Linked DNA regions of Saccharomyces cerevisiae S288C. The protein of the gene in region 2 purifies or fractionates together with the protein of the main gene of each other region. This does not show direct contact. Each region holds a gene or a part of one and is shown on either strand. Other genes may lie near its edges.

What was found.
Region 1: the proteins of ARO4 (region 2) and DLD3 purify together in Saccharomyces cerevisiae (affinity purification with mass spectrometry, with the first as the bait; one large-scale study listed by BioGRID). This does not show direct contact.
Region 3: the proteins of ARO4 (region 2) and YGR266W purify together in Saccharomyces cerevisiae (affinity purification with mass spectrometry, with the first as the bait; one large-scale study listed by BioGRID). This does not show direct contact.

What each region holds. Positions count from the first base shown.
Region 1 is NC_001137.3:8,952-19,072, forward strand, and holds DLD3 (D-lactate dehydrogenase), read left to right. Parts: upstream 1-7,403; coding exon 7,404-8,894; downstream 8,895-10,121. Other genes in the region: RMD6 (Rmd6p), read left to right, coding at 4,769-5,464. UniProt on the Saccharomyces cerevisiae protein: Catalyzes the reversible oxidation of (R)-2-hydroxyglutarate to 2-oxoglutarate coupled to reduction of pyruvate to (R)-lactate. Can also use oxaloacetate as electron acceptor instead of pyruvate producing (R)-malate.
Region 2 is NC_001134.8:712,753-722,833, reverse strand, and holds ARO4 (3-deoxy-7-phosphoheptulonate synthase ARO4), read left to right. Parts: upstream 1-4,839; coding exon 4,840-5,952; downstream 5,953-10,081. Other genes in the region: DUT1 (bifunctional dITP/dUTP diphosphatase), read right to left, coding at 1-223; mitochondrial 37S ribosomal protein uS5m MRPS5, read right to left, coding at 521-1,444; SPO23 (Spo23p), read right to left, coding at 2,230-3,801; HIS7 (imidazoleglycerol-phosphate synthase), read left to right, coding at 6,369-8,027; snoRNA-binding rRNA-processing protein ENP1, read left to right, coding at 8,379-9,830; RRT2 (diphthamide synthase), read right to left, coding at 10,080-10,081. UniProt on the Saccharomyces cerevisiae protein: Stereospecific condensation of phosphoenolpyruvate (PEP) and D-erythrose-4-phosphate (E4P) giving rise to 3-deoxy-D-arabino-heptulosonate-7-phosphate (DAHP).
Region 3 is NC_001139.9:1,021,125-1,031,862, reverse strand, and holds YGR266W (uncharacterized protein), read right to left. Parts: upstream 9,208-10,738; coding exon 7,102-9,207; downstream 1-7,101. Other genes in the region: SLH1 (RNA helicase), read right to left, coding at 1-72; chromatin segregase YTA7, read right to left, coding at 354-4,493; HUA1 (Hua1p), read left to right, coding at 5,210-5,806; FOL2 (GTP cyclohydrolase I), read left to right, coding at 6,128-6,859; methionine--tRNA ligase MES1, read left to right, coding at 10,010-10,738.

The DNA.
Region 1 (10,121 bases), on a different chromosome or scaffold from region 2:
TGATAAGCCATGAAATCACCAATATCAAAGATAGCAATCCAACTGGAAAAATTATTCTCGGCATATGGGTGATGATAAAAAGCGTAGCTTAACAAACACCAGTGCTGGTTATTATCTGTAAAATTTGATTAGATTTCAAGGGAAAATCTGTTTGAAATTGCGTTTCCTTGTTGGCCTGCCATACTTTAATTGAATAAAAGCTCCGTATATGCTTCTTAAAAATAAGCAATAGATCCAGCTGACTCATTTCCTGTATTTCTAAGGGGAAATGCGTAGGGAAGACCAATTTCATGACGATAGATTGAAACGGCAATCAACATCTGAAGAAAAGAAAGTAGTATGACAGCTTGATGTCTTATCTCATTTACTACTTTAATGACTTCGTACAACTTCACTGAGCTAATTTACGCCATTTTTACGCAGATTATGATATTCATTTCTTGAGATATGAGGTCGACTGGCAATGCCTACTCTTATAAAGAGAAAGTTTTTGAAAACACAGTACGTTTACAAAACGATATCAATGAAGGTTGTAGCTACATGCTCTTCACCAGACTAATATATCCTCTTAGTAAAGCGCTATATAATAGTAACTCAATATTTTGTAAATACAATAAGGTTAACGGCGTTATTCATTTTCGTCTGATATTCATTTGCAATTTGCAGTTCAACTTTTCAATGATGATTTAGAATGATCTAACACTGGAAGTTGAAGTTTTTCAAAAATTTGCTGTAAAATTTGACCGATTTGTGAGATTCTTCCTGGCTGTCAGAATATGGGGCCGTAGTATATTGTCAGACCTGTTCCTTTAAGAGGTGATGGTGATAGGCGTTGAGTATGTGTAGTGTTTGACCCGAGGGTATGGTTTTCACAAGTACTGCGCACTGTATTGTGAAAGCAGCTTCGGGGTGCGTGATTAAAAAATGCGACCAAGAATAAACAGGTACATCATAACAAGGGCCATTTGAATTGCATTTATCAGGATTTGTAACCTTGTTCTAAAGAGGCATCGTATAGTTTAAGTTCATTTTCCACCCAATTTGATGACGGTGTGGACCTTAACCTATTGTCTTGAAATTTAGGTTATCTCTTAGATATCACATGTGATTACCCCAGTGAACGCGTATAAGCTTACAGAAAGGAAAACCGGTTGGCTCAGTCAAAACTGTTGCAGATTTGGGCTCCCCTGAATATTTGAGACATCCCTAAAATGAAGAGATATATACAGCTAATTTTGAATGAAAATTTAAAATTCGCAATGAACAGTACTAGAGATGAGCTTTTGAAGTCCTTTCAAATTATTTGTTCTTCCAGTTGATATTTTTTATTTTATATACCAGTACCAAATATAATCTTGCCATACATTTACCTTTTTGAGGTTGTTCAACGGAAATCCAGTGTATTTACACATTCTTGGAAACCCATCGCTTATAATACGAACTAATTTATTTATGAACAAAGGCTTTGGAAAAGTATCCCTACTTTTTACGACGCTAAATCATGATACGAAACTTTAGGAAGATTAACAGTCACTCCATAAAATCAGAAAGTATTCGCTAATAGTGGAAAGAAATGGTTATATAAAGATGGAAATATCTTGAAAGAGACAGTTTAACCCGAAGTTCTGTCAAAGTGTTTGATTTGAATTGAATAGTATCACAGAATGCGTTAGCTATGTACAAAGAATCTATCGGCAAGTATGGGGTAGCAAGCTGCTTAAAGCTTCTTATCACACTGTAACCTCTGTTAAAGCAGCTGCGTTGTTCTTGCACTCTGCACGTAAATGACGACGGCCAATGTAAAAATAGCAGTCACTGCAGGCCTCTTGGATTGTACCCGTAATTACAGCAATTGCCATTAGATTTACGAAGTCATTTAATTAAATGGTTTGATTTATCTCCTTAAATGCTTCCAGAAATGGGACTAGACTTTTTTCACTCAAACCTGTTCACAATTATTGCTCTTTTTCAATTATAAGGTAAACAAGGCCATCTATCAGCAACACAGTGCTCGCATTTTTTAATTAAACTATATAAAACCAACTATTTGTGGTTGCGACTTCACTTTTTGTTGAATTACTACCCAATCATTAATATTGAAGATGTGAGATCATAGATTTATTGGCTTTGGGCATCTCAAATCCCAAGAGGTCATTTTAACCAACAACATTTTAAAAAGTAGATTTGTCTGCCTCAGCTATGAGATGCGCATGTCCCTAGCATCTCATATCTGGTTATATTATTTTTTCCACTTGGTGAATGTTGAAAAAAACACCACTCGTCCAATTTATCAGTTTGCAGGTCTAATGTCCTTCCCTGTTATTTAAACTGTATATTGTAAGCATGTCTTATCGAAACAACTTACTCAGTTGTCCGAAAACAAAACTGCAAATTCTGTGTGTATTCACGTACTAGAATCCTGTCAAATTGGATCTTGATTTAAGCTTTTATAGCAACGAACTTTGCATACTAAGTTTTTTTTGTTAACCGGAACTGCCAAGAAGCATTCAGTAAAATACATCTTCATCATTTACTGATAATACTCATTCAGACTCATATCATACTATTTCGAATTCATTATACATCCTCAAAAACCATATTCTTCAGTTGTAATAAAAGATAGAGCCTGCATTTGATTCGATTTCCGTAATTTGGGGGGCCAAGTCCTAGGTTGACTTCATCTTGGATGTCTATCGCGATGCATTTAGTGTGGCATAGAATTTCTCTCTTCACGAGCAGGGAAGGAATTGTATTATATTATTTGGTAATCGCCTAGTCACAGTCATTTAGAAGAAACTTAGCATCATTATTCCAGCATCATGCACCAGAACAGGAAAATGCCATTTCTAAAAGTATTCTCATAGCCATTAAACGATTCAATACTTTTTTGGTAGCTAAGTCAATGCCTCTCTGAATATTGTATACTATATGAATAAAGTGATCCCATAATCAGACTACCCAGCACTTAGTAGCGCATTTTAGAACTAAATATATATTGCCTTTTTAATACTGTAACTTGAGAATTCTTAATAAGGAACAACAATGGTCCAGAAGGTGTTCGGTAGAAAGATAGAAAATTTTAAACCATACACTATCAAGCAATATTATACTTGTTCTTTAATCAAGAGGGGATTGTACTTTTATTTGATTTGAGGCCGGGTATCTTGATTTCACTTATGTTATACTGTCTCTTAGTTGATAAATTCAATGTTACATTTGCTATCTCATTTTCAGGTCAGCAGCTATATTGACCTTGCTTACATTCAGCGCGTGTGAGGCACTACCTTTAAAACTCTTGTGCTCCTTATTCACCATAGTCTGTTATCCGTTTGTTCTTACGGAGGAAACTGCAATTGATCATTTATGAATCTTTTAGTGAAATTTAGACACTATTAAAATTTAATAATAGGCAAAGTACGTCAATTATCATTCTTGGTTCCTGAAAAGTTGAATCTGTTATGAAGTCTGATATTTGGGGTTAGCATTGTATACTTCCCTTGAGTAATGCATTATCCGTAACGCCACTTTTACCATATTCAAGTGCAGGTATATTTAGCATTTTTTACATATAATATACTGACCTCCGAAGCTAGGTGAGAGAAAGCAAAGGTTTTGAGGGCTATTTTCACCATTGGAACTAAGATCGTACACACTAATTAACTCTCTGCCGGAGGCGCGCGATATATGGGCTGGAGCGGTCCTGACTAAAGTCCTGCTGGAATATTGGTGAAGTGTCTCAAAAAACTAGTAAGGTCAATATCAGGGAAGGAACTATTATTGGCCGAGGCGGCAGCTAGGTTAAAGAATCTAGCCGTCAATGCAACGAAGGTTATCAAGTACATTCAGTTGGATACATTAAAAAAGTTGAATACAATATCAATTCTAGAAGATTGTAGCAAGTTTGGTGAGATAGTTTACGCCTATAATATATAAGTGCTAACTCAATGTTCAGTTAGTAGAATCACAGCCTGAATATTCTGTGCATCGTTTACTCAGGGACAGATGCGATCTCAATGCAGGGACGAAAAACAGTCTTATATGCGCACGCCAGCAAAATCTTTTTTTGCGGCACCTAAGATCTCTCGCATGATAAAAGCATAATATCTTTGCCCCACAAAGTCAAGGCGTATTGGAAAAGCTACTTTAGTTAATAATGAAATGATCGCCCATCCGGGTAAAAATGGTTACAATTCCAGTGTTGATTATTGTTCGTTTTTCAGAGAGAATAATTTAGATGCTCCTATTGAAGAATATCTTGTTAGCGCATAGGGCAATCATCTACGACTTTAACCGCAACTGCGTCTGTTACCGACATTGGAGGATTGTATGCTCAAATGACCCCTGTGGTGAAGATGAACACTTCTTGCACACTATGGTTGAATCTTGACGGTACCCTCACTCAGAGTTTTATAGTATCACACGACGCTACTCTCCCGCTTGTACATTCATTCTGGCTAGTTTATAATAACGTTAAGGAAATGACACCCATACCTCTCAGAAATCCAATTGGAAATAATATTTGTAAAAGCACGTGATATTGCCTTTTTCTTTTATCTGGTTACCAATATGGGATCAATAACTTTACTTTTGAAGATCTTGTTTTTCCTTCAGATAAGAAATCAAAAAAAGAATATATGCACAAAACAGTATGGATATAATACACCTTACTCTTGGTCGTGATTGAAAACGTAAGGTTCTACATAAATTATTGAGAAAGACTTATTTGAAGATATCGAGAGTCTATCATGCCCTTTGCACAACAAAACTAATGTCAGCTTGCCCTTGCAACATCGTTATACTCCCAGTCGAGATTTTGAAGAATTCATCTAAAGATACTAAGTATAGCTTGTATACAACAATTAATCGAGGATATGATGTCCCAAGACTCAAATATGGCATCATAGTTAGCCCTCGAGTGCACAGCCTTGAGACTTTATTCAGTGATCTGGGCTTTGACAAGAATATAGAGAAATCCTCGCTTTACTTATTATTAAATGATCCTACCTTAGCATACCCTAATTTCCATGAACATTTTGAACAGCTTAAAGGTGAAACAAACAAAGATTTATCTCTACCGACATATTATATTCCGAAGGTCCAGTTTTTGACAGAGGCATTCGATTCAGAACATACCCTAGCAACCATCGGCTACAAACCAAATAATAAGGAGAGTTATGAGATCACAGGTTTTACATCCATGGGTAATGGTTATGGTATAAAACTATTCAATTACAGTGTAATTCATATGATGCGGTCTCATAAGTGTAAAAGAGTGGTTGCAGATATTATCATGGAGCATGACCTATTGGGTTACTATGAAAAGAAGCTTGGCTTTGTAGAGGTGCAAAGGTTCAAAGTTCTCAAAGAACAGCACCAAGTAAAGGTATTTGACGATAAAGTTGACTTTACCAAAGACTTTCATGTGATCAAAATGATTAAAGAGTTGGGAAATCATAGATTGTAGTGGTATAGTCCCGTACACACTCTATTTGAATAAACTGTAGGTTCTGCTGAGCAACATATTGATATAAACAGTAAAAAGAAGTGGGTTCCTTGTTTTCCTGCAATTATAACTAACCGTGCTTACTACCAAAAAAAAAGTGCGTATAAATATTCACTATTTACAATGTTGAAGGTTCCAGATGGATACAGAATAGGAATCCTAAATATAAACACTATATTTATTTATTTTTTTCGAATAAAAGTCATGTTAGCAATATTTATATAGTTGATTTTCCTGCATTTATTATATAATTGGCGGCATAGTAACATCAAAAAAAAAAAAAAAAACATTCAAATTGCACTACTTATAGCAGTAGCATCTATAAAAGTTTTATGATATAAACCTTTACAGTTATCTCAAATGGTTTTGGGATTGTCCATCAAATCAAGCGTGATTCATCTATACGTTATTATTCTCCTACAACCCCCTTAGTTTGGAGAGCGCTTAGAGAAATAAAGCATCGATGTTTTCTTACCTTCACTAAAATCAAAATAAAAAAGCTTTTCTATAGTTCACGAATTACGCAATTTATTCTATCATCCTTAAAGTTGATCAATTGCGATTTTAACACACATTTTCAAATGTCATTTTGCGCTTGTATAATAGGTGCCATCTGGACACTTTATAAAAAATAAAGGAAAAGTAAAATATAATGCTGAAAATATAGTTGCCTTAAAATGCCATTGATATGATTTTTTTTTAACCTTAAATCTATTGGCCTATAATATTCGCGGCAAAATGAGCATTTGAAAATCAGTAATAGAATGCTATCAAACTTCGTTCATGACCTTTTTAGCATCATAAGTGTTGAATCGAATCTATCAGTTCAGTAATTAAAAATACTATTTTTCTGTCAGCACAGAACGTAACGACTTTTCCTTATATCCACTATTGATTTCTCTTTAAAGTGCTATGTAAAGTACCTAAAAAACTTGTTATAGAAGTCTCATTCGAAAGCATGTGGGCTCAAAAATTGTGAATAAGATACATAGAAGGAGCCGCTGATCGACACATAATAGTAGAGTTGAACCTAGTTGGTTCAACCATTATCATAGTTATACGAATAAAGCCACAATATAAATGGCCAACCGCTGTTGTCAAACAAGACTATAGGTTCATTTTAACCTGGCGTGCAGTACGCTGGTCTTGCTAACGCCTCTACAATACGTACAGTGCAGGTTTTGACGAATGAAAGTGGTTAGAAGATTAATGTGATAGAAACAAGAATTTTCTCGCAAAGATCTGTATGAAAGGAAACGTTTGGTAAGAACTCTGCGATCCAAATTCTACTGAATGAATAGAAGGCTTCTACAGAACAAGTTGTATCGAAATGATTGTTGGCGACTACTATATTTCTATAGGCATGAAAGTTACTCATAAACAGGAAAGACGCATTTTAGTAGCTTGACCTGGTCAGATTAATCAGCTTCCAACGTTACTTCCCTTTCGCAAGAATCTACCCAAAATGTCTCGAGCATCTTGATAATTACAGTATCGTTCGTCCCGACTTGGCATTTGTTTAAATTTCTAAGATGCTTCCTATAGGAACATAATTGTCAAGAAAGCACAACAAATTGTCTGCAATGTCAACAGGAGTGGCGCATTTTATGTTTTTTCATTTTTTTTTTTTTGTGCGTGATCATTAAGCGGGATATTGTCCACAGTCATCTAAAAGAATGACCATTTCGACGACTTAGTTCGGAAAATATTTCCAGCGGATGACACCACTTGCCACAGTTGGTGACCGCCAAATCTAAGTCACGCGCGGAAACTGAAAGGTTGTGAGTATATAAGTGATCACTCGCTTATATAACTGACGAGGCAGAACAGGGTGCCAAAATGCTCCTCAATATTTTATTCATTTGAGATTCAAGGCTTAAAGACAGCATATATAAGAATTATGACGGCCGCACATCCTGTTGCTCAGTTAACTGCCGAGGCATACCCTAAAGTCAAGAGAAACCCAAATTTCAAAGTTCTCGACTCGGAAGATTTGGCGTACTTTCGTTCGATTTTGTCAAATGATGAAATCTTAAACTCTCAAGCTCCAGAAGAGCTTGCTTCGTTTAACCAGGACTGGATGAAAAAATATAGAGGCCAGTCCAATTTAATTCTCTTGCCAAACTCCACTGATAAAGTGTCCAAGATTATGAAATACTGTAACGATAAAAAGTTGGCAGTAGTACCACAAGGTGGTAACACCGACTTGGTCGGAGCCTCTGTTCCGGTATTTGATGAGATTGTTCTTTCTCTAAGAAATATGAACAAAGTCAGAGATTTTGATCCAGTTAGCGGGACTTTCAAGTGTGACGCGGGTGTCGTTATGCGTGATGCGCATCAATTTTTACACGACCATGACCATATCTTCCCATTGGATCTGCCTTCTAGAAACAACTGTCAAGTGGGCGGTGTAGTTTCAACAAATGCAGGTGGTTTGAACTTTTTAAGATATGGGTCTCTACACGGTAATGTTTTGGGTTTGGAAGTGGTGCTACCCAACGGTGAGATTATCAGCAATATCAATGCCCTAAGGAAGGACAATACTGGTTATGACTTGAAACAATTATTCATCGGTGCAGAGGGTACTATCGGTGTCGTTACTGGTGTATCCATAGTTGCAGCAGCAAAGCCAAAAGCCTTGAATGCCGTATTTTTTGGTATTGAGAATTTCGATACCGTTCAGAAATTATTTGTCAAGGCTAAAAGTGAATTATCTGAGATTTTATCTGCTTTTGAATTCATGGACCGTGGCTCCATTGAATGTACGATAGAATACTTGAAGGACTTGCCTTTCCCTCTGGAGAACCAACACAACTTTTATGTTCTTATTGAAACGTCAGGGTCCAATAAGAGACACGACGATGAGAAGCTGACTGCTTTCCTCAAAGATACCACAGATTCTAAATTAATTTCGGAGGGTATGATGGCTAAGGACAAAGCCGATTTTGATAGACTTTGGACCTGGAGAAAATCTGTTCCAACAGCTTGTAATTCTTACGGTGGTATGTACAAGTATGACATGTCACTTCAATTGAAAGATTTATATTCCGTATCTGCGGCTGTGACGGAGAGATTAAACGCAGCCGGTTTGATTGGTGATGCACCAAAACCAGTTGTTAAATCATGTGGTTATGGTCATGTCGGTGACGGAAACATCCATTTAAATATCGCGGTAAGAGAATTTACAAAACAGATTGAGGACTTACTAGAACCATTTGTTTATGAATATATTGCATCAAAGAAAGGTTCCATCAGTGCTGAGCATGGGATCGGTTTCCATAAGAAAGGTAAGTTACACTACACCAGAAGTGATATTGAAATTAGATTTATGAAGGATATCAAAAATCACTACGATCCAAATGGAATCTTAAACCCATACAAGTACATTTGAACTTTGTTAATTTTTAACTTTCAAAGAGCAAACCCTTTTTCTTTACAGTATTATAGATTTACATATATGTATTTATCAATTTATTATTGATCAAAATTAATATACCATAAAATATTTATCTTAAGCCGTTGTTCTTGAACGATTTTCGGTGAAGAAACCTAAGAGACCATTTTTTGTGGAAAAAGGTCTCGTTTTCTATAGATCTGCGACCAGGAATCTCCTGATTGCGTACTTCAAAAAGTGTTCGTCCATTTTTTCTTTACTACATTAGATAATTATACATAATCCAATTGGAGTAGTGACATGAGTATTGGTATAACCTTAATCCAACAATTTTAAACACGTACTAAAGTGATCTGGACTCATTAAAACTCAAATCTCGTCCAGTTTTTTCTTCATTTGTGATCAACATCCAGGGAGACACGGAGATTATAGTAGTAGTTAATAACACTTCGCAATTACTTATTCAAGTATGTTATTAAATAGTGAAGAGGAATGAGTTTTCAGATCACATGTTATTCTCCAAGAATAATTACATAAGTTGCCATTTCAAATGTGCGCAAACTACCTTCTGTATTCTTTGCGCTAATGCCTTACTCAGTCTCCCACTTTTAACGTTTATTTCTTGTAAGAGTCGAAACTAAACCTTAGTTGAGCTTAAATTCAATCAAGTTCAAGAAGCGTTCTGGCCCACACTTTAAAGCGACTACAATTAGGAAGAGCTCACTAGGACCAACGTATTCAATGTGGATATCATGAAAAATTTCATCTCCAAAAAGCCAAAATTCTACTCATAATGACAGTGGTGAGAATTAGCAAGGTAAAATATTGGCATTATGTGGCAGGAGAAGGGAAATACGAGAGCGGAGATAAGTTGGATATTAATGAGCTTTAGATGTTGAAAAAAAAAGAAAGCGTTACAATGCTCAATAAAACAATGACTTCCCGGAAAAGATTTTTTGATTATTTTATTCCGAGAAAGGCCGATGTATGCTGAACCAACGTGTTGCTTGCCAACTTCAGCATACTTTGTTTGCCACCCTACTAGGAAGTGACCCCGAGAACTTTATTTTCTGCACCCATGGGTGCCTAAAACTTATTTTTCTGCAGGGCGTTTGAGAAATAAGGGATATGGCAAAAATCGAAACGTGGGGTAGTTTCGTGCCTTCTTATGTGCCTATCTTGATTTTTGCCTTTGTGCCTTACTCTCCTTACCCCGCGATACCC
Region 2 (10,081 bases):
TTTTCACTGCCAGGCCTGACCTTGGCGCAATACGACCGTAGGTACCAACAGGTACGGTGAACGATATGTCGGTGGAAACCATACCTTGACCCATAGCCGGAATGGTAATATCCTGAGATGCATAAATGTCGTATCCCGCGGCAGTGGCAGAACCTTTGGTAGGTACAGTAGCGCTTGCTGAGCGCAATTGAATCTTTAGTACTTTGTCGCTAGTAGCAGTCATTTGGTTATTTTTTGGCTCGCTGTATCAGTGCAAACATCTCATTCGAGAACTTAGTTGTTTCTACTTATTAAATGGTAGCGCGTAATATTTTTCCTTTTATAATTTTCAATGGTAGTAAATCAGAAATTATGGAAAAAAAATAAAACTTGGACAGAAAAAAATATTGCTATGAAGAAAAATTGAATATGCTTATCAGCTCATTTGATTGAGTATGTTGAGATATTTACAGGTATTATTATTGCTGTATTTACTTATGTAAAACGAGAGATAATGGTGCGTGTGTATGTACATAGTATTTCAGCTTGAATAGTAAACTTTCCTGACATCAACAAGCTTTTTGCCTCTACCCAGGGCAACCTCATCCAATGTCTTTTGAGCTTTCGTGAAAGCCTCGATGGTACCTTTAGCTATATTCATATCGTTTCTGGATTTATATACTTTCCCACTCAGATCTTTGATACCTGCACATTCACAAATCTCAAAGATTACATGGTTTACACGTAATCCAAACCCTGGTTTTGCACTTCTTAAATGTAGTTTCACACCATGATACCTAAAATCTATATCACCATAAATAGTTCTGTTTTCATACCTAGGTATTTCCTTCAGGTTCCTTACCGCATCCCAATGAGCTTTAAAGATCGCTTTGGACATTTCTTCACGAGATTTACCTTCTCCCAAACCTACCATACCGTTTTTGTCACCAACGACAACCAAGGCATAGAAAGACGCAATTTTACCCTTCCCAGTCTGATTTGACACTCTTTTCATCACCAGCGGCTTCATAGTCAACTTTCTAGTGATATAATCCGGATCTACACCGGTTTGCTTGTGTAGCCCTGCAGCTACATCGGCGCTTTTCGATTTCCGACCACCATCGTTTGGTAAGCTGACTCCTGGAGGCAGAATGTTACCTTCGCCTGGTAATGGTTGTTGTACCTGGTCCCATCTAAAGATGCTGAAGTTATTATTCTCCTCTTGAGCGTGGAGATGGGGCATGCCTGGTTTGTAATCCCAAAAAGGATGTATTTTGGTAAAATCATCCAAATATGGTGGTGCGAATTCCACGTTACGAGATACTCTGAATTTAGTATCTTCTGGTATCGTTTGTTGAGCAAGTTTTATGGATTTTAAAAGACTTTCAGGATAGTACCTTGATAATAGCGACTCATCATAATGCTGTAGATAACGAACACTAGTCGATAATTGCCTCTTGAACATCTTTACCTATTGATCTATGAAATCTGTTTCTTGTATGGTTTACCGTCTACTTTGACAACAATAACGATAGGTCTTTTAGTGGTGCTTGTATTATTGTCTTGTCAATTCGTCTTTTTTTTTTTTTCACTTTAAGGAACTTTACTCCGCGAATAAAAGAAAGCATCACCATGTAATGAAATATATGGGATACATAAATGTATGGGATACATACGACTGTTACTTGCTACCTCATTTGGAGATCACTAGCTCAGTTGTAAAACTTTTCCATTTGATTGAATAAACTCTAACCTTTTTCATACTGGTAGTAAAAGTCAAACCTACGAAAGTTCACATAATAAGGCCTTCACGCCAAGAGAGTCTAGTGTAGTGTTCTTCAGCTCCTATTGATATACTTTTAGTGCCCAAACACGGGATGTTTCAAGTAATTTTTCCTTCTCTAATTTGACAAGGGAAAATATGGCTAGTAATTCTTGTAAAAATGTCTTCTCCTCAGAGTGGGCGGTGCTTATGTATTAGAACCGGTCGAAATATCATAATATACACCGGCCAGTAGAGAACGGACATGGCGACTTGATACATAAAATGTCTATCTCGGAAGCTGATCAACTTGTGAAGTAGTATTATAGATATCAGCGTGCAAGATACTTACAAAAAGAGAGACCTGTAAATTTATTGTTACGTAAATACATAGTAGAATAAGAAACTAATAAAAAATAGTATATGTATATCATGCAAATAAAAAAAAAAAGGATAAAATAGAGGCGTTGTTCTGAGGTACCGAACATTCATAAGCTATTCTCACCTGCTACCATAGAATATAGTGGGGGTTCATCTTGTAGATCACTAATATTTTCAAATTTTTCATATTTGGGTAACAAAGAGCTGGTCGAAATATCACTATCGCCAACTAAAATTGGAAAATTCACCGTAATACGATAATTTTTTTTCATTTCAAGCCCTTCCACCAATTCATTCCTGCTATAGGTTATTCTGAACAAAAGCAAATGAGTTACTTTGAGGGCAGCATGATTGGGATAAAATGAACTTGGTTCACAGTAGAATGTTTTAAACCAGCTCGGTAGACCATCCGCATAGGTTGGGATGACAACGTCATCAAAGCAAAATCCGAAAATGGTCTTGTCGGAATCGAAACTTTGGCTTTCTACAGTTCTTAGTAAATACTCGGACTTTTTAATGTATGGCTCTCGTAGTATTTTCTTGGTCTTCAAATCAATACTTGGTATTGCCATTCTCTGTGCAACTGCCAAAGAAGCTTCCTGTAATTCAATGGAAGAATCTGTTTTGGTAATTGATAATATCATTTGGAAAGGCATACCAATTTCAATCAACTTGGAGTTTCCAATGACCGATACTACGATCTCACTTGCAGTATTGTATGACCTTAATTGAAATGTTTCAAACTTAAGCATACTCGTTGAAGGCAGGACTCTTTTAACTTTAATTTCTTCTGTTAAAATGATCTTATCTGTAAAACTTTCATTCTTCAAAAATTTGAGTAAGTTTTTAGGTTTACTTGGTATTCTCATTATTGTTGTTAAGCTTTCTATTCGAAAATGGGTCTTGCCAAAGAAGGAAGAGAAACTTGCTGGGAAAGTATTTGCTTGAAGGGTAAAAGTGAATGGGTAATCGTACGTGCCCTTTGTCAATAGAATTTTCTTATCATTTAATGAGTGGTGTATGACTCTCAACTGCTGTTTGGGGTAGGTGGAAGACTCAAAAAACTCTGTGTGATTAAGTTCTTTGATAATTTTGTCACTATAGGAGTTTTTGCTAGTTTCTGAATTTACAAAGCATGCATATTCCTTTGTGAAACATTTTAAAGAAATTGAATGGGAAGTGATTAAGAGGGCCTGGTCTTCTCTATCAATGTTTATCCTAATCTTTCCTTTGATTTGTAGAGGAGTGGCTCTTTCTCTTTCAACATTTGTAGATATATTATCCAGTGAGGAATCGTAATACAACGGATAGTCAGCATTCAATTGTAAATCGGAGAACATTAGTGTTTTGTACTTGTTATCTAGATACAATTCAATGCTGTAACCACATTTTTTATCTACAGATGATGTTACATAGGGATTTTCGTACAGCCGTAGTGAATCATAGCAATACTCAAGGTCTTCCTTAGCCTTCTTGATTGTAGTGCCACCATTTTTTAATTTCTTGAGTTGAATTAATTTTTTTGGTAGTTCACCACTGAAATCTTCATTACCAAAATGCTGCCTTATCTCGCTTTGTGTGGAACTTTCAGTCAGAGTAGTGGATCTACTAGATATATTTTCCGAGAACACTTGTGAAACCTCGGAATTAAGTGAAGAAGATGAAGACGAAAACAACATTAGTCAAACAAAAAAGGGAAATTCTATTTGTCTGATTTTGTTGCAAGATAACAATACTGGCAAACATGGGCTTGAGTGCTTAGGAAGAAATCTTGAGGTAGCAGTAACTTCTTTTTATTAAACAGTATGCAGCCGCCCAAAAAACTGCGATGTCGCCATTAGTTATTTTGTGACACAAAAACAAAATCGAAAACAAAAGAAATAGAAAGAAAAAGAAAAAAACAAAGGCTAAACAAGATTCCATTGTGCAGATTTAATGTTTACAATATAATTACATTCGCTCTTTTTGACCCCAGCTGCACAACCCACATAATTCGCATAAAACAATAACAATTGGCCTAACATAGATGCCAAACACACTTCTGACATAACTGAATGCTAGGGTAAAACTCCACACAGGTTTTTGAACACGAACTGCCAGTATACAGCTAGCCTTGAAAGTGATGGAAAACATTGTCATCGGCACATAAATAAAAAAATTATGAATCACGTGATCAACAGCAAATTATGTACTCGTATATATGCAAGCGCATTCCTTATATTGACACTCTTTCATTGGGCATGAGGCTGTGTAAACATAAGCTGTAACGGTCTCACGGAACACTGTGTAGTTGCATTACTGTCAGGCAGTTATGTTGCTTAATATAAAGGCAAAGGCATGGCAGAATCACTTTAAAACGTGGCCCCACCCGCTGCACCCTGTGCATTTTGTACGTTACTGCGAAATGACTCAACGATGAAATGAAAAAATTTTGCTTGAAATTTTGAAAAAAAGATGTGCGGGACGCATTGTTAGCTCATTGAATACATCGTGATCGAATCCAATCAATGTTTAATTTCATATTAATACAGAAACTTTTTCTCATACTTTCTTCTTCTTTTCATTGGTATATTATCTATATATCGTGTTAATTCCTCTTTCGTCATTTTTAGCATCGTTATAAGAGTAATTAAGAATAACTAGAAGAGTCTCTCTTTATATTCGTTTATTTTATATATTTAACCGCTAAATTTAGTAAACAAAAGAATCTATCAGAAATGAGTGAATCTCCAATGTTCGCTGCCAACGGCATGCCAAAGGTAAATCAAGGTGCTGAAGAAGATGTCAGAATTTTAGGTTACGACCCATTAGCTTCTCCAGCTCTCCTTCAAGTGCAAATCCCAGCCACACCAACTTCTTTGGAAACTGCCAAGAGAGGTAGAAGAGAAGCTATAGATATTATTACCGGTAAAGACGACAGAGTTCTTGTCATTGTCGGTCCTTGTTCCATCCATGATCTAGAAGCCGCTCAAGAATACGCTTTGAGATTAAAGAAATTGTCAGATGAATTAAAAGGTGATTTATCCATCATTATGAGAGCATACTTGGAGAAGCCAAGAACAACCGTCGGCTGGAAAGGTCTAATTAATGACCCTGATGTTAACAACACTTTCAACATCAACAAGGGTTTGCAATCCGCTAGACAATTGTTTGTCAACTTGACAAATATCGGTTTGCCAATTGGTTCTGAAATGCTTGATACCATTTCTCCTCAATACTTGGCTGATTTGGTCTCCTTCGGTGCCATTGGTGCCAGAACCACCGAATCTCAACTGCACAGAGAATTGGCCTCCGGTTTGTCTTTCCCAGTTGGTTTCAAGAACGGTACCGATGGTACCTTAAATGTTGCTGTGGATGCTTGTCAAGCCGCTGCTCATTCTCACCATTTCATGGGTGTTACTAAGCATGGTGTTGCTGCTATCACCACTACTAAGGGTAACGAACACTGCTTCGTTATTCTAAGAGGTGGTAAAAAGGGTACCAACTACGACGCTAAGTCCGTTGCAGAAGCTAAGGCTCAATTGCCTGCCGGTTCCAACGGTCTAATGATTGACTACTCTCACGGTAACTCCAATAAGGATTTCAGAAACCAACCAAAGGTCAATGACGTTGTTTGTGAGCAAATCGCTAACGGTGAAAACGCCATTACCGGTGTCATGATTGAATCAAACATCAACGAAGGTAACCAAGGCATCCCAGCCGAAGGTAAAGCCGGCTTGAAATATGGTGTTTCCATCACTGATGCTTGTATAGGTTGGGAAACTACTGAAGACGTCTTGAGGAAATTGGCTGCTGCTGTCAGACAAAGAAGAGAAGTTAACAAGAAATAGATGTTTTTTTAATGATATATGTAACGTACATTCTTTCCTCTACCACTGCCAATTCGGTATTATTTAATTGTGTTTAGCGCTATTTACTAATTAACTAGAAACTCAATTTTTAAAGGCAAAGCTCGCTGACCTTTCACTGATTTCGTGGATGTTATACTATCAGTTACTCTTCTGCAAAAAAAAATTGAGTCATATCGTAGCTTTGGGATTATTTTTCTCTCTCTCCACGGCTAATTAGGTGATCATGAAAAAATGAAAAATTCATGAGAAAAGAGTCAGACATCGAAACATACATAAGTTGATATTCCTTTGATATCGACGACTACTCAATCAGGTTTTAAAAGAAAAGAGGCAGCTATTGAAGTAGCAGTATCCAGTTTAGGTTTTTTAATTATTTACAAGTAAAGAAAAAGAGAATGCCGGTCGTTCACGTGATTGACGTTGAAAGTGGTAACCTACAGTCACTAACCAATGCAATTGAGCATTTAGGTTACGAAGTACAACTGGTGAAATCACCAAAGGATTTTAACATATCAGGCACGTCAAGATTGATTTTGCCTGGTGTCGGAAATTATGGCCATTTCGTCGACAATTTATTTAATAGAGGATTCGAAAAGCCGATAAGAGAATACATTGAATCTGGAAAACCAATAATGGGAATTTGCGTCGGGCTACAAGCGCTCTTTGCCGGTTCCGTGGAAAGCCCTAAGAGTACGGGTCTGAACTACATTGATTTTAAGTTGTCCAGGTTCGATGATTCAGAAAAGCCAGTACCAGAAATAGGTTGGAATTCTTGCATTCCCTCGGAAAACCTATTCTTTGGATTGGATCCATACAAGAGGTACTATTTCGTCCATTCTTTTGCTGCCATTCTGAATTCAGAAAAGAAAAAAAACCTAGAAAATGACGGTTGGAAAATTGCAAAAGCTAAGTACGGTTCAGAGGAATTTATTGCGGCAGTCAACAAGAATAATATATTCGCTACTCAGTTCCATCCTGAAAAATCAGGTAAAGCTGGTTTGAACGTCATTGAGAATTTTTTGAAGCAACAAAGTCCTCCGATTCCAAACTATAGTGCGGAAGAGAAGGAACTCTTAATGAATGACTATTCAAATTATGGTCTAACACGCAGAATTATTGCTTGTCTTGATGTACGTACTAATGACCAAGGTGATTTGGTGGTTACTAAAGGTGATCAATACGATGTACGTGAAAAAAGTGATGGTAAAGGTGTTAGAAACCTTGGTAAGCCTGTTCAGTTGGCACAGAAATATTACCAACAGGGTGCGGATGAAGTAACATTTTTGAATATAACTTCTTTTAGAGATTGTCCTTTGAAGGATACTCCGATGCTAGAGGTTCTGAAACAAGCCGCAAAGACAGTCTTTGTTCCATTGACAGTCGGTGGGGGGATCAAGGATATTGTCGATGTTGATGGAACCAAAATACCTGCTTTAGAAGTTGCAAGTCTATACTTCAGATCTGGTGCTGATAAAGTATCGATCGGTACGGATGCAGTCTATGCAGCCGAAAAATACTACGAGTTGGGTAACAGAGGAGATGGAACGTCACCAATAGAGACAATCTCGAAAGCATACGGTGCTCAGGCAGTTGTTATTTCTGTCGACCCTAAGAGAGTATATGTAAATTCACAAGCAGATACGAAGAACAAAGTCTTCGAGACAGAATATCCGGGCCCCAATGGAGAGAAATACTGCTGGTACCAATGTACAATCAAAGGTGGAAGAGAATCTAGAGACCTTGGTGTGTGGGAATTAACAAGGGCATGTGAAGCTCTAGGTGCTGGGGAGATTTTATTGAACTGCATAGACAAGGATGGCTCTAATTCTGGTTATGATCTGGAATTGATAGAACATGTTAAAGATGCGGTCAAGATTCCCGTCATTGCATCCAGTGGCGCCGGTGTACCCGAACATTTCGAAGAGGCCTTCCTAAAGACCCGCGCAGATGCTTGCTTGGGTGCAGGTATGTTCCACAGAGGTGAATTCACTGTTAACGATGTAAAGGAGTATTTACTAGAGCACGGATTAAAGGTTAGAATGGATGAAGAGTAATGTGGTTGGATATGTATACTTTATAATCTTGACTCAGTCTATATACGCAATAATGATAGATGTTAAATCAGACATTTCACAACACAAGAGGATGTACAGCTTGGAGAAATTGTACCAACTTATATGGTTGTATTATTGGTGGTGTCAGTAGGGGAAGAAATAGAACATATTTTTCCACTTTTTCATTTTTTTTTTTTAGCGAGGCATCGGAAATGAAAATTTTTAAAAATCGATGAGCTCCCACTTCTTCAACATTGACGAAAGGAAATATGCACTAAGTTGTTTTAAATCCAAGATTTGTCTCGTTTTAAGACTTACAGATAAAACAATATATTAGAAAGATTAACTATAATGGCCAGAGCATCCTCTACTAAAGCCAGAAAACAGAGGCATGATCCACTTTTAAAGGATTTAGATGCAGCTCAAGGTACCTTGAAAAAAATCAATAAAAAGAAGCTAGCGCAGAACGATGCTGCAAATCACGATGCTGCAAATGAGGAAGATGGATACATAGACTCCAAAGCATCAAGAAAAATTTTGCAGTTGGCCAAGGAACAACAGGATGAAATTGAAGGTGAGGAACTTGCTGAATCAGAAAGAAACAAGCAATTTGAAGCCAGATTCACCACCATGAGCTATGATGATGAAGACGAAGACGAAGACGAAGACGAAGAAGCTTTTGGAGAAGACATCTCCGATTTTGAACCCGAAGGTGATTATAAAGAAGAGGAAGAGATAGTTGAAATCGATGAAGAAGACGCAGCGATGTTTGAGCAATATTTCAAGAAATCAGATGATTTTAACTCTTTAAGTGGTAGCTATAATCTTGCAGACAAGATTATGGCCTCTATCCGAGAAAAGGAAAGTCAAGTTGAAGATATGCAAGATGATGAACCACTTGCTAATGAACAGAATACCTCAAGAGGCAATATTTCATCCGGTTTGAAGAGTGGAGAGGGTGTTGCACTTCCAGAGAAGGTCATCAAAGCATATACTACGGTAGGTAGTATTTTAAAAACTTGGACGCACGGTAAGTTGCCAAAGTTGTTCAAGGTTATCCCATCCTTAAGAAATTGGCAAGATGTCATTTATGTGACCAACCCGGAAGAATGGTCACCACACGTTGTTTACGAAGCAACGAAATTATTTGTATCCAACCTAACTGCTAAAGAATCTCAAAAATTTATTAACCTAATTTTACTTGAACGTTTCCGTGACAATATCGAGACCAGTGAAGACCACTCTTTAAACTATCATATATACCGTGCGGTGAAAAAATCGCTTTATAAACCAAGTGCCTTCTTCAAAGGTTTCCTATTCCCATTGGTTGAAACAGGGTGTAATGTACGTGAAGCGACAATTGCAGGAAGTGTGCTTGCTAAAGTCTCTGTTCCGGCTTTACATTCTTCAGCTGCCTTGAGTTATCTTTTAAGGCTACCTTTCTCTCCACCTACAACTGTTTTTATCAAAATATTGCTCGATAAAAAATATGCTTTACCGTACCAGACGGTGGACGACTGCGTGTATTACTTTATGAGGTTTAGAATTTTGGATGACGGTAGTAATGGGGAAGATGCTACAAGAGTACTCCCAGTGATATGGCACAAGGCTTTCTTAACATTTGCACAACGTTACAAGAACGATATTACCCAGGATCAGAGAGATTTCTTGTTGGAAACTGTTCGTCAAAGAGGCCATAAAGATATCGGTCCTGAGATTAGAAGAGAACTATTGGCAGGAGCCAGCAGGGAGTTTGTTGATCCACAGGAAGCTAATGATGATTTAATGATTGATGTCAATTGATGCTGTAATATCAATTTTTCATCAATTTTATATCGCTCGGTCTTTCCCCCTTTCAACAAAGCTTCTGAATCATGTATAATAAGTAGAAAATATAGAGTAAAAGATTATTGTTCAGGCAAGTTCCTTCCTATCAATTCTTTATGCATAATCTATCGAAATCATCAAAATATGGCCTATATATTAGCCTATATATTAGCCTATATATTAGCCTATATATTAGTCCATATATTGCAGACTGAATTTTTTTTTCT
Region 3 (10,738 bases), on a different chromosome or scaffold from region 2:
TGAAGTATCAATCATAGATTGCATTGCAATCATAAATGATTTAGATGAATCAGCAGAGTATTCAGTTGACATCTTGAGCCGGCTATTGATGGTACGGATCTACTTCTCACAATTCCAATGGTGTTAGAAGATATTATGAACATGTTTAATTTCAATATGTTCAATACATATTCCATTCTCGGTCATTACCCGAAACGTATGCCAGAACAGTGACTGTTAAAATAAAGTAGTGGAAAAAAGCATAATATATATACAAGGTGTGGTTTTAAATCTATTTCTTTTCAAGAAAAGTGCACATTCATGTATATGAACTAACTACATTTAAGAATTATATAAACATTATGGACTCCTGCTTATTCAGATAAAAATTTTATTATTTCATCGACAGTTCCTGTTTTATCCCATGCTGATTTACTTTTCCATATTATTTTTGCAACGGACGAATGAACATCTTCTAATTGAGAAACCGTAAAATTCTGACAGTGTTCGATTAAGCATGCAGATACTTTTTTTATTTGTTCGGGCGTCAAAATAAGCTCCTTGTCGCTCTTCTTCCCTTGCTCCGGTTCCACAACCTCTTTTGGTATCGGACTTCGTTCCCTTTTTTCTACCGTTTCGTGGAGGGAATTTGGTTTGTTAACCGATTGAATTTCCTTTACGTGATTTATATTATTAGTATTAGCGTCTATTTTGCTGAAGTTTTCTTCCGTAACCTGCGTTTGCAAAGAGTCTTCATTCTCTTTTGGTTCTTTTCTGGCCCTTTCATCATCATCGGTGGTTATCTCTGACGTGCAAGTGGCCTGTATCAGTTCCGTTGTGTATTCTTCATTTGCACCGCTATCCTCAGGGATGACCGCTTTTTCTTTATCTACTGCAGAGGGAATTGCCGCAGGAATCTCCTTTTTATACAGGTTGGTATCAATTGGTTGAGGGACCTCGCTGTTATTAACGATAGAGGCTGTATTGATAGTTGTTTGCAGCTGAGCTTGCAATTGATTACCAGCAGCTACACCAAACTCATTAGCCTTGTTATCCTTTAAATCAGGTTCTTGCAGTATATTTTCTTGACTCTGTTCTTTGGCTTCTAATTCCATTGCAGCTCTTTTCTCTTCATCTTCTAAGAAAAGTTCCTGCCTTTCCAAATCCCTTTGGCGAGTAGCTTTACACTCTTGAATAAAATCCGGGGTTGAAATTTCTTCGATACCCATTTGCGCGTTGGCAAACATCTCAGAGGCCTTAATGACACGTTCTCTGTCCCCAATGGTATTTGCATCCCTGTATATCAGTTCAATGTCTTTTAAAAACTGTTTTGGTTCTGAGTAATAGCCATTCCAAAGTCTCTCTTCGACAATATCCAAATCCATGTTAAAAAACTTTCGCCCTGTTGAAACCTCCAGAATCATGTTCTCATCTTTTATATATGCAGGTTGCCAATTGGGATCATTGCTTGTCTCTGGTTCGAAAAGATGAACCAAGAAGGCATCATCAATAGGTGGTTTTCTAAACCTTTTATATCTGTTTTTAAAAAGATCCATCAAGCCTGAGAGTTTGATTTTTAACACATTTTTCAATCTCATATCTTGGTGTTGAAAAGATTTCAACTTCCTTCTTAATACCACTTTTTCAGACAGTGGCTCACCATTTTCATCAAAATTTGTTGGAGCTGCGTTTGAAGTTACTTTTTGTAATTCAGGTAACGGTTTGACTCTTCTCTTTTTCATGGGAATATCACTTGGCTTTGTTTTCAGTAGTTCAATTAAATTAGAAAAATACCTCGTTATATTCTCTTTGGATGGTTTATGCAGTTGAAAGATATTTTTATCAAAAGCAAAATCAGATAAAATACCATTTTTAACTTCAGATATATCAAGATTTTCAGCTAAGCATAATAGAAGAATTTTTTCATTGCTTTGTAAAGATCTGAACAAACCTGATAAGACTAAAATAACGTTTTCTGGAATAGTGTTGATCCAAATGTCTAAATTAGGAATAAATACAACTGAGGGCTGTCTTTTCTTTGCTTCCATAAAACTTTGCACTACAGCAGCTTCAATAGTCCTAGAACTTTCCGAAACCAAAGAGGCAAGGTCCAGGTTTTGGACGTTGAATTCTTCTAAATAATTTAAAATTGCGGCTCCGACATATTGTTGACCATTTCCCTTGGGCCCATTTATTAATAACCGAGGTTTACAAATTTGTGATTCCGCCATCGATTCGAAAAACTCATATGATCTAAAACTGGATGTATCTTCATTTCCTCCATATTTGTCATGCTCTTCTTCCTCTCCACTGTATTCTTCATAATCGATGAAATTTTGTAGCAATGATGTGTTTCTCTGAAAAGTTGTGTCTTTAATGTTCAGCATATAATCCAGCTTGTTCTTTAAATTATTAAGTTGATCTGCCAGTAATGGTTTGATTAATTCAGGTAGTGGCTGAGGAGAACTACCAGTAGATCTCGCAGATGACGGAACAATTTTTTTCAAAGCTAACATGAAATCGCTAACTTTGACTTTAATCTTAGAAGGGTCCACCAAGAGTTTATCATTTGACCTATAAATTTGAGGAAAGCTTCTTTGTATACTTATTAGTGCAGCCTCAGTGCATAGGGACCTCAGATCAGCACCACCATATCCTTTGGTCAAAAAAGCCAATTTATCAATGAAGTTGGTTGACAACGGTGAACTCCATTTCCTGGTCTGAATTTGCAAAATTTTAAAACGTGCTTTAACATCAGGTAATGGAAAATAAAATTCTCTATCAAATCTTCCCGGCCTTCTTAATGCGGGATCCACTGCATCGGGTCGATTTGTGGCTCCGATGACAATGACTTGGCCTCTATTGTCCATACCATCCATCAGCGCTAATAATGTGGAAACAATACTAGCATGGATCTGTTCTTGTTTGGAACTTCTCACAGGCGCTAATCCGTCGATTTCATCAAAAAAAATGATGGAAGGTTGATGTTTTTTAGCTTCTTCGAATAACAAACGGAGTTGTCTTTCAGCTTCACCAACCCACTTGGATAAAATATCTGCACCTTTACGCATAAAAAATGTGATCTTCCTTTCATCAGAAGAACAACTTGCTGCTAACGCTCTTGCCATAAGTGTTTTACCCGTACCAGGAGGACCATGGAAAAGAACACCCCTTGGGGGCGTGATATTAAAATTTTGATACAATTCTGGGTATAATAGTGGTAAGGCCACCATTTCCTTTAATTGGTCAATGTAGTTGTCTAAACCACCTATATCGTCAAAATTTACATTCATGTCTACGCCTAATGGATCGAGGTCTGCAATTTCTGGTTTTTTCTTCTTCTTTTTTTGCGTGTTCTCTTTCTTTGTTTTCGGTGTCACGCCAAGAGGTAATATCTCATCATCGGAAGAGTCTGAATCCAGTATTAATTTATTGTTGTTATTATCACTGAATGCAGATGGGACTTGGTTGTAAAAATTAGTATTCTTACCAAATATTGTAGTTACGTCATTGCCACCAAAAGGTCCACCAGTGGGAAAAAGCCTTCTTGTGGGACCAGAATTTTGACTAGCATTCCAACCACCGCGACCACGCCGTGCAGGTGATGGGTTATGAAAAGAAAGTGCATTGTTATTCTTATCTATAAATTCTTCTGCGTTGCTAGCAGTTAGTGGTGGTGGTAATTTGTAATTTACCGGCTTAGTTCTTTCGCGAAGAAATCTTTTTTCCCTGATAGGACTATCTTCCTGTAACTCTCTAATTTCATCAGCTAAAGTTAACGCTTCATTCCTGCTATTATCATTCTCATCGTCATTTTCTTCATTTGAAGTACGCGAATGTCTTGTCCTACTTCTTAAAGCTCTTCTTACCGGTGGTGGAGTTTCTGGGTGACGTGACGATCTTGTTCTTCGAGAATTTGCCCTTTTCAAACGTTTAGAAGAAGCCGAATGGCTTATTCTGTCTCCTTCTTCGTCATCCTCATCGTATTCTTCATCGTCATCAGGGTCTGGTACTACAAATTTCCTATCGGCCGCTCTGCGCCGACGGTTGTTATCCTTCGAGTCTTCATCCAAATACTCATCTTCAAATTCGTCTGCTTCTTCCTCCTCTTCATCATCGTCGACATCTTCCTCATGAAAACTTTCGTCATCTTCTTCTGGATCATGCGCTTTTCTTTTTCTCAAGTTCCTTTCATTAGTAAGCTCTTCGTTCGTTCTGGCGTTTTCGTGCGGTGATACAAGATCAACATCATCGTCTTCATCATCGCCTTTCTGGTTGTTGTTATGATGTTCATCACTAGTAACATCAACGGGCGTCTCATCTTTGTCCATGACCTGGTCATCTTCCAAAAAATCAAACACTTTCTCAATTTCTGCGTAGTTTATTTTTCTCAAAGAGCGAGTTGTTGTATGGATTATGCCATTTTCGTCTTTAATCTGTGTTTCATACCCAACCTTTGCGTTGCTTGCATCTTCAACGTCGCTACCGCGTCTATTCCTTAAATTTCGTGCCATGTTCTTTCTGCACCAATTGTGAATAAATAGCGAGAAGAGAGAAATAGACCGTGGTAACTTCTTTTTATGACTGTCGAAAACAACAATGGGTTAGTAAGGAGTACGCAAGATCCTTCAGACGTTTTGCTTTATTTAAGACCCTACGCAGTTCCTTTTCTGCTCCTTTTCGTCCCAATATTGCTCTTTCGCTACCACTTTGTCCTTTTTCGCACACATGGCCGTACAAAATAACAGACGGTACGTTTTTAGTGATAATAAACAAGTTTATAGAGGCAGAAAAAAATTCCTCAGCGGCTAATGCCTCAACAAGTTCAGCTGCAAACGATGAAAAGACGCACACAAAAGCGAATAGAAATAACCGATCACCACAGTTCCTCTTTAAAACATCTCAAACTCAGCATTAACTTTCAAATCAATCCAGTGAAAGTATGCTTGGTTTGACACTTCACTGCCATTTCCTCCTGCCTGCCTATCTGATGCTTTGCCACCACAAGAGTGTTTTCCCTATGGCTTAATCGCTTTTTTCCATTTATTTTTCTCTTTCCCCCTTTTAATAGAGGGAAGAGAGCAGAACATACAAACATATCATTTTCTACGGTATAGCCTCCGCCTCCATCTTTAATAGTGACACTTCCATCAAGGGAATAAAGAGGCTTCAAGTCAAGAACTAAGCAGTCCCAAAAAATACCCATAAAACGAGTATAAACCATACTGTTATGTCTAAAGACACGCATGATGATGAACTGCCGAGCTACGAGGACGTAATCAAGGAAGAGGAGAGATTGCAATCTCAACCGCCACGACCACCAAGACCAGCAGCTAACTTGGCGCAAGGGCACCAATCAAGACCCCACCAAAGGCCCTCGACAATGCCAGCAACGTCCTCATCCCAAACATATGCTCACTCACACTCTTATACGCCTACAAGTTCCCAACCACGGCCTCCACCGAGGCCACAACAGAATCCTAGCTTGCCCTGGACATACCCTCCCAGGTTTTACTGTTCCAAGTGTGGAAATACGGGTTACAAGTTGAAGAATGGACGATCTTGCAAGTCGTGTTGGAGGAGGTTTGCACCTCAAAATAACGTTGTTTCTGCACCGACATATTACACAAACTATACAATGCCCGTGTACACCAACGCATGGCAGGGTAATAGGCCCTTGTACGTTCAACCAGGGGATCCTCGCCTGGGTGGCGTGCTATGTGGTGAATGCAGAGGGTCCGGACGCACCAGATTCCTGTTGGACGAAGATATATGTCCTCTTTGTCATGGTGTAGGCAGAATTATCACCCAGCCTCAACGCTATTAGCGCATGAAAATTTAGGATTTGGATGACCCGGTACGGCCTTAGTAGAAAAGCTGTGTCGCTCACCGAAAAGAAAAAAGACCGAACAACTGTAGGATGAAAAGCATATTTTAATGCTCCTAATTTTCAAACATGTCTATTACATACTTATCACATAATCCGACTGATTTGCCCTTCTTTAACTTCTTTCATTTATTTTTACGGTGCCAACCGTCTGATCGATATAGCATCCGTTCATAAAATATTATACGACTCCATCCTCAATCGTGATTGTGCGTGCGTGACTCATTTTTTGTTAGAACCAATACTTTCAATCATCCCAAAATGCATAACATCCAATTAGTGCAAGAGATAGAAAGACATGAAACCCCGTTAAACATTAGACCTACCTCTCCATACACTTTAAACCCTCCTGTCGAGAGAGATGGGTTTTCTTGGCCAAGTGTGGGTACAAGACAACGTGCAGAGGAAACTGAAGAGGAGGAAAAGGAACGAATTCAACGCATTTCAGGCGCTATCAAGACAATTTTGACCGAACTGGGTGAAGATGTCAACAGAGAAGGTCTACTAGATACTCCACAAAGATACGCTAAAGCCATGCTTTATTTCACTAAAGGTTACCAAACGAACATTATGGACGATGTCATTAAGAATGCTGTCTTTGAAGAAGATCATGATGAAATGGTTATTGTTCGTGATATTGAAATTTACTCGTTATGTGAACATCATTTGGTGCCATTTTTCGGCAAGGTTCATATCGGGTATATACCAAATAAAAAAGTCATCGGGTTAAGTAAGTTGGCCAGATTGGCAGAAATGTATGCGAGAAGGCTCCAAGTTCAAGAAAGACTTACAAAGCAAATTGCAATGGCCCTAAGTGATATTCTAAAACCATTAGGTGTAGCCGTTGTTATGGAAGCTTCTCATATGTGCATGGTTTCAAGAGGCATTCAAAAAACGGGATCTTCTACGGTAACTTCTTGTATGCTTGGAGGGTTTAGGGCTCATAAAACAAGAGAAGAGTTTTTAACTCTTTTAGGAAGAAGAAGTATTTGAAAAAAAAAAATAAAAGCGACGATATATCGTGTATGTATTAACTAAATTAATAGAGATATACAGGATTAATATCGTTTGAGAAATCTCCATAGAGAAAGGCCACGCGCGACTGAGCTTTTTTTTTTTTCAACAATCAGTATATACATTTACTTCCGGTACAGCATCGCACTTGACAGTCCGTTAGTAATGAATAGAAAAGTTTGAACTGCTAAATAAAAATCTGTAATTATCACAAAACTAAACTATGTGATATTCAGATGTTTGATACCCTTGTGAGACAACCGTTCGCAGGTAACTGTTAACTCTGGAATGGGTAAACAGTAGCTCACAGTTTGTGAGTTTGTTTGATTTGCATCTCTTTCAACATGAATGGTGGTAAACAAGCCACCAGAAGTTACTGGATAAGAGTTAATTTGGTCATCGTTTTCCAATTTCTGTAGCTTTTGCTGTTCTGTGATGATACCAGGAATGACTATATCACCAACCTTTACGCCTAATTCTTTACTCAATTGGGGATTATTCAACAGGTTTTCTATAGGTATAATATCTGACCAGTTTCTCTTGTTCATGAAACATGATTCTTTACGTTTATGTACTCCATCCACTTCCTTGGCAAAAATTGGTACGGCATCTTCATCCGTTTCCAAATCGAAATGATGCAAGCGACATCTTTTTTGCAATAGCGTGGCCATTGCATCTGGCGGTGGGGTATTTACTATGGCGCTAGCAATGATATTAAAAATCAGCCTTACGTCTTTCGTTGGTTCTTCAATAATTCTGGTGTTTTCCTTTTCCTTCTCCTCAGACATGATGAGATGGTGTCTATGAATTTTTGCCCTAAATCTCCCAACAGATGCCAAATGTACATCGCCTGATAATATGGTTATTCTGACGCCATATTTAGCACCTATGTCTTGCAATTTCATTATCAAGTAGTTTCTTTCTTTTTTATGATGTCTCGCGCACCAATGATCATTTAAATCATCCAACAGTTCTACATCTCCATTAAATTCGTTAACGAAGCCACTAGCAAATATCCCTTTTTTAGATAAATATTTAATTGGAGCCAGTAGTTTTGAGGTAAAAAGCCATTCTAACCATACTAACCTTGGATATGCAATCGGGATACCGAGCATCAGCAATAAGTGGCCACCTTTTAAATTTTTTATTTCCCTTTCGACACGTTCCCAAATTAAGGAATAACTTCTTTCTGAGAAAATCTCGTGTAATTTCCTCTCAGTTCTACAGTCCAACCCTAACATGGCCATTTTCGGACCCAACCAAGAGAATATTGAGTGAGACCTTTCACCGATATAAGAACTCCCTTTTTCATTACCTAGAATCCATTGTTTGCTCTTGAGATAAGCATACTCATCGCCATCTTGTTTAGAAGCACTGACATGCTGCTGGAAAAGCATATAGTATCGGTAAGCCATTCTTCCCACTGTGAGGAAATTTTCAGTCTTCATGAAGGAATCGTTGTACGATCCATAGCCATCAATAATATCGTGGTCATCCCAGACATTAATGGCAGGAATACAAGCTAGTGACTTGACAAAGCATTTTTGGGTGGTCTTGGATTTTGGGGTAGAACCATACCAGTGACCGTAACCGTACCAGTTTAAATAGTGTTCTAAATAAAACTGCCTAATCTGCTCTTTTGTTTCTTCAGTGGTCTGAGTATTATACTTCTTAATTGGGTCCTTTGTCTCCAGCCAAGCTTTAAGATTTGGCGCATGCAGTTTAATATTATCGGAGTAAATTTGATCTCCGCCGCCGAGAATGGCATGATAATGAACGTATCGATGCTTTTTAAGGACATCATACCATAGAGAACCTTTGAATTTCGATGTATCTACGCTCAGTGAAAATCCGTTGCATGAATAGGAGATAACGTTCGAATTTTGAGTGAAAGAGGGAACGAAGAACCTATAATGTGGTTCCATAGTACCGTCAACAGCATATTTTACCATCTGCTCATAGTTGGACATGGGCAACTTAATCTCATACCTGTAAAACCATATATTATCATCTTTTAAAATGTCCTTATGAAAAAGTTTACCTTCGAAGAATGCCTCGTTAACTTCGATGTCTTCATCCTCAGAGGGCAAAGAGGGCCCTAGCTGATAGGTAATTTTCGGAAAGTTTTCCTCGCCTCTAACTACCACCATAATAGACCCCTCGTAGGTTTTTTCCTTAAAATCCATGTTGATGAGTCTTAATATCGGTCCACATATAATACCAGACTTTGGAATTGGCGAAGTTTCGGAACAGTCATCGCAGCCAGTGACATCGTCTCTATAAAGAGCTTCTGGGTTCCAATCGTCGAACCAGTTTGTAGCATGCATTTTTGTAGCAGTGTTTATTTTCAATTGAGTACTTTGAACCCGGTAGCAACTGTTTTGACCTTCTGTAGGACTTTCCCCTCACTAACTTTGTGGAATTTCTTTTCATTTTTACTAATGGACCCTTCGCTATGTAGCCGTGCCGATAAAAATATATTCCTGGTATTACCCGACGCTGCTATTTCAACTTTTTTCAATAAAAGGACGAAAAAATAACATGTTTAATCTTGAGACCTTCTGGGTTAAGTTTATTGATAGAGATTAAGTACTAGTTTAAAACGTCTCAGGCATAAAACATGAATTATGCTAACTTTTTAGCTACAGCGGACATAGTTGTACAAACTGAGGAAAGGCTTCTTTAACCAGGGATTTTGAAGTAGGAATTGTTGAAGTCAAAAATGGGAACCTATGGAGGGGAATTCAAAAGGCATGAAGTCAAAAGATTAACATAATATAATTCAACTTTGAAAAATATTCTAGTCAAAGCTTTCCCGAGAACGCGTAGCGTGATGATAATGGTGTATCCTATCGATCTGTCGACTTGCTATGATTATCTTTGTTAGCCGCCGAAACGATCATTTATGCATTGCCCGAGTATAGTCACTTCTTCTCAATATCACGAGGCACGAATGATTTCGGAGGCAGAAAAAATTTCTGTACGCAACTTATCGAAAGAGAAAACGAAAAAAAAAAAAAGACGATGACAAATTTTCTTCGATGTCTAATGTTAATGATGATTTGCTTCCTGATATGCATCTTTGTGGAGGAATAAAACTTGAAAAAAAAGCGGAAATTTACAACAAGCATGTCTTTCCTCATTTCCTTTGATAAATCGAAGAAACATCCTGCCCATTTGCAGTTAGCGAACAATTTGAAGATTGCCCTAGCACTTGAATATGCAAGCAAAAATTTAAAGCCTGAAGTTGACAATGATAATGCTGCCATGGAATTGCGCAATACAAAGGAACCTTTCCTTTTGTTTGATGCTAACGCTATTCTAAGATATGTCATGGATGATTTTGAAGGTCAAACTTCCGACAAGTATCAATTTGCATTGGCATCTTTACAAAACCTGTTATATCATAAAGAATTACCTCAACAACATGTCGAGGTTTTGACAAATAAGGCCATTGAAAATTACTTGGTCGAATTAAAAGAACCATTGACTACTACAGATTTGATCCTGTTTGCTAACGTTTATGCTCTAAATTCTTCTTTAGTTCATTCTAAATTCCCAGAATTGCCATCCAAAGTGCATAACGCTGTAGCATTGGCTAAAAAGCATGTTCCACGTGATTCTTCTTCTTTCAAAAACATCGGCGCAGTGAAAATCCAAGCTGACTTAACAGTTAAGCCAAAGGATTCAGAAATTTTGCCTAAGCCAAACGAAAGAAACATCTTGATCACTTCGGCATTACCTTATGTCAACAACGTTCCACACTTGGGTAATATCATCGGTAGTGTTCTTTCAGCAGACATTTTTGCTCGTTACTGTAAGGGACGTAATTATAATGCCTTGTTTATTTGTGGTACT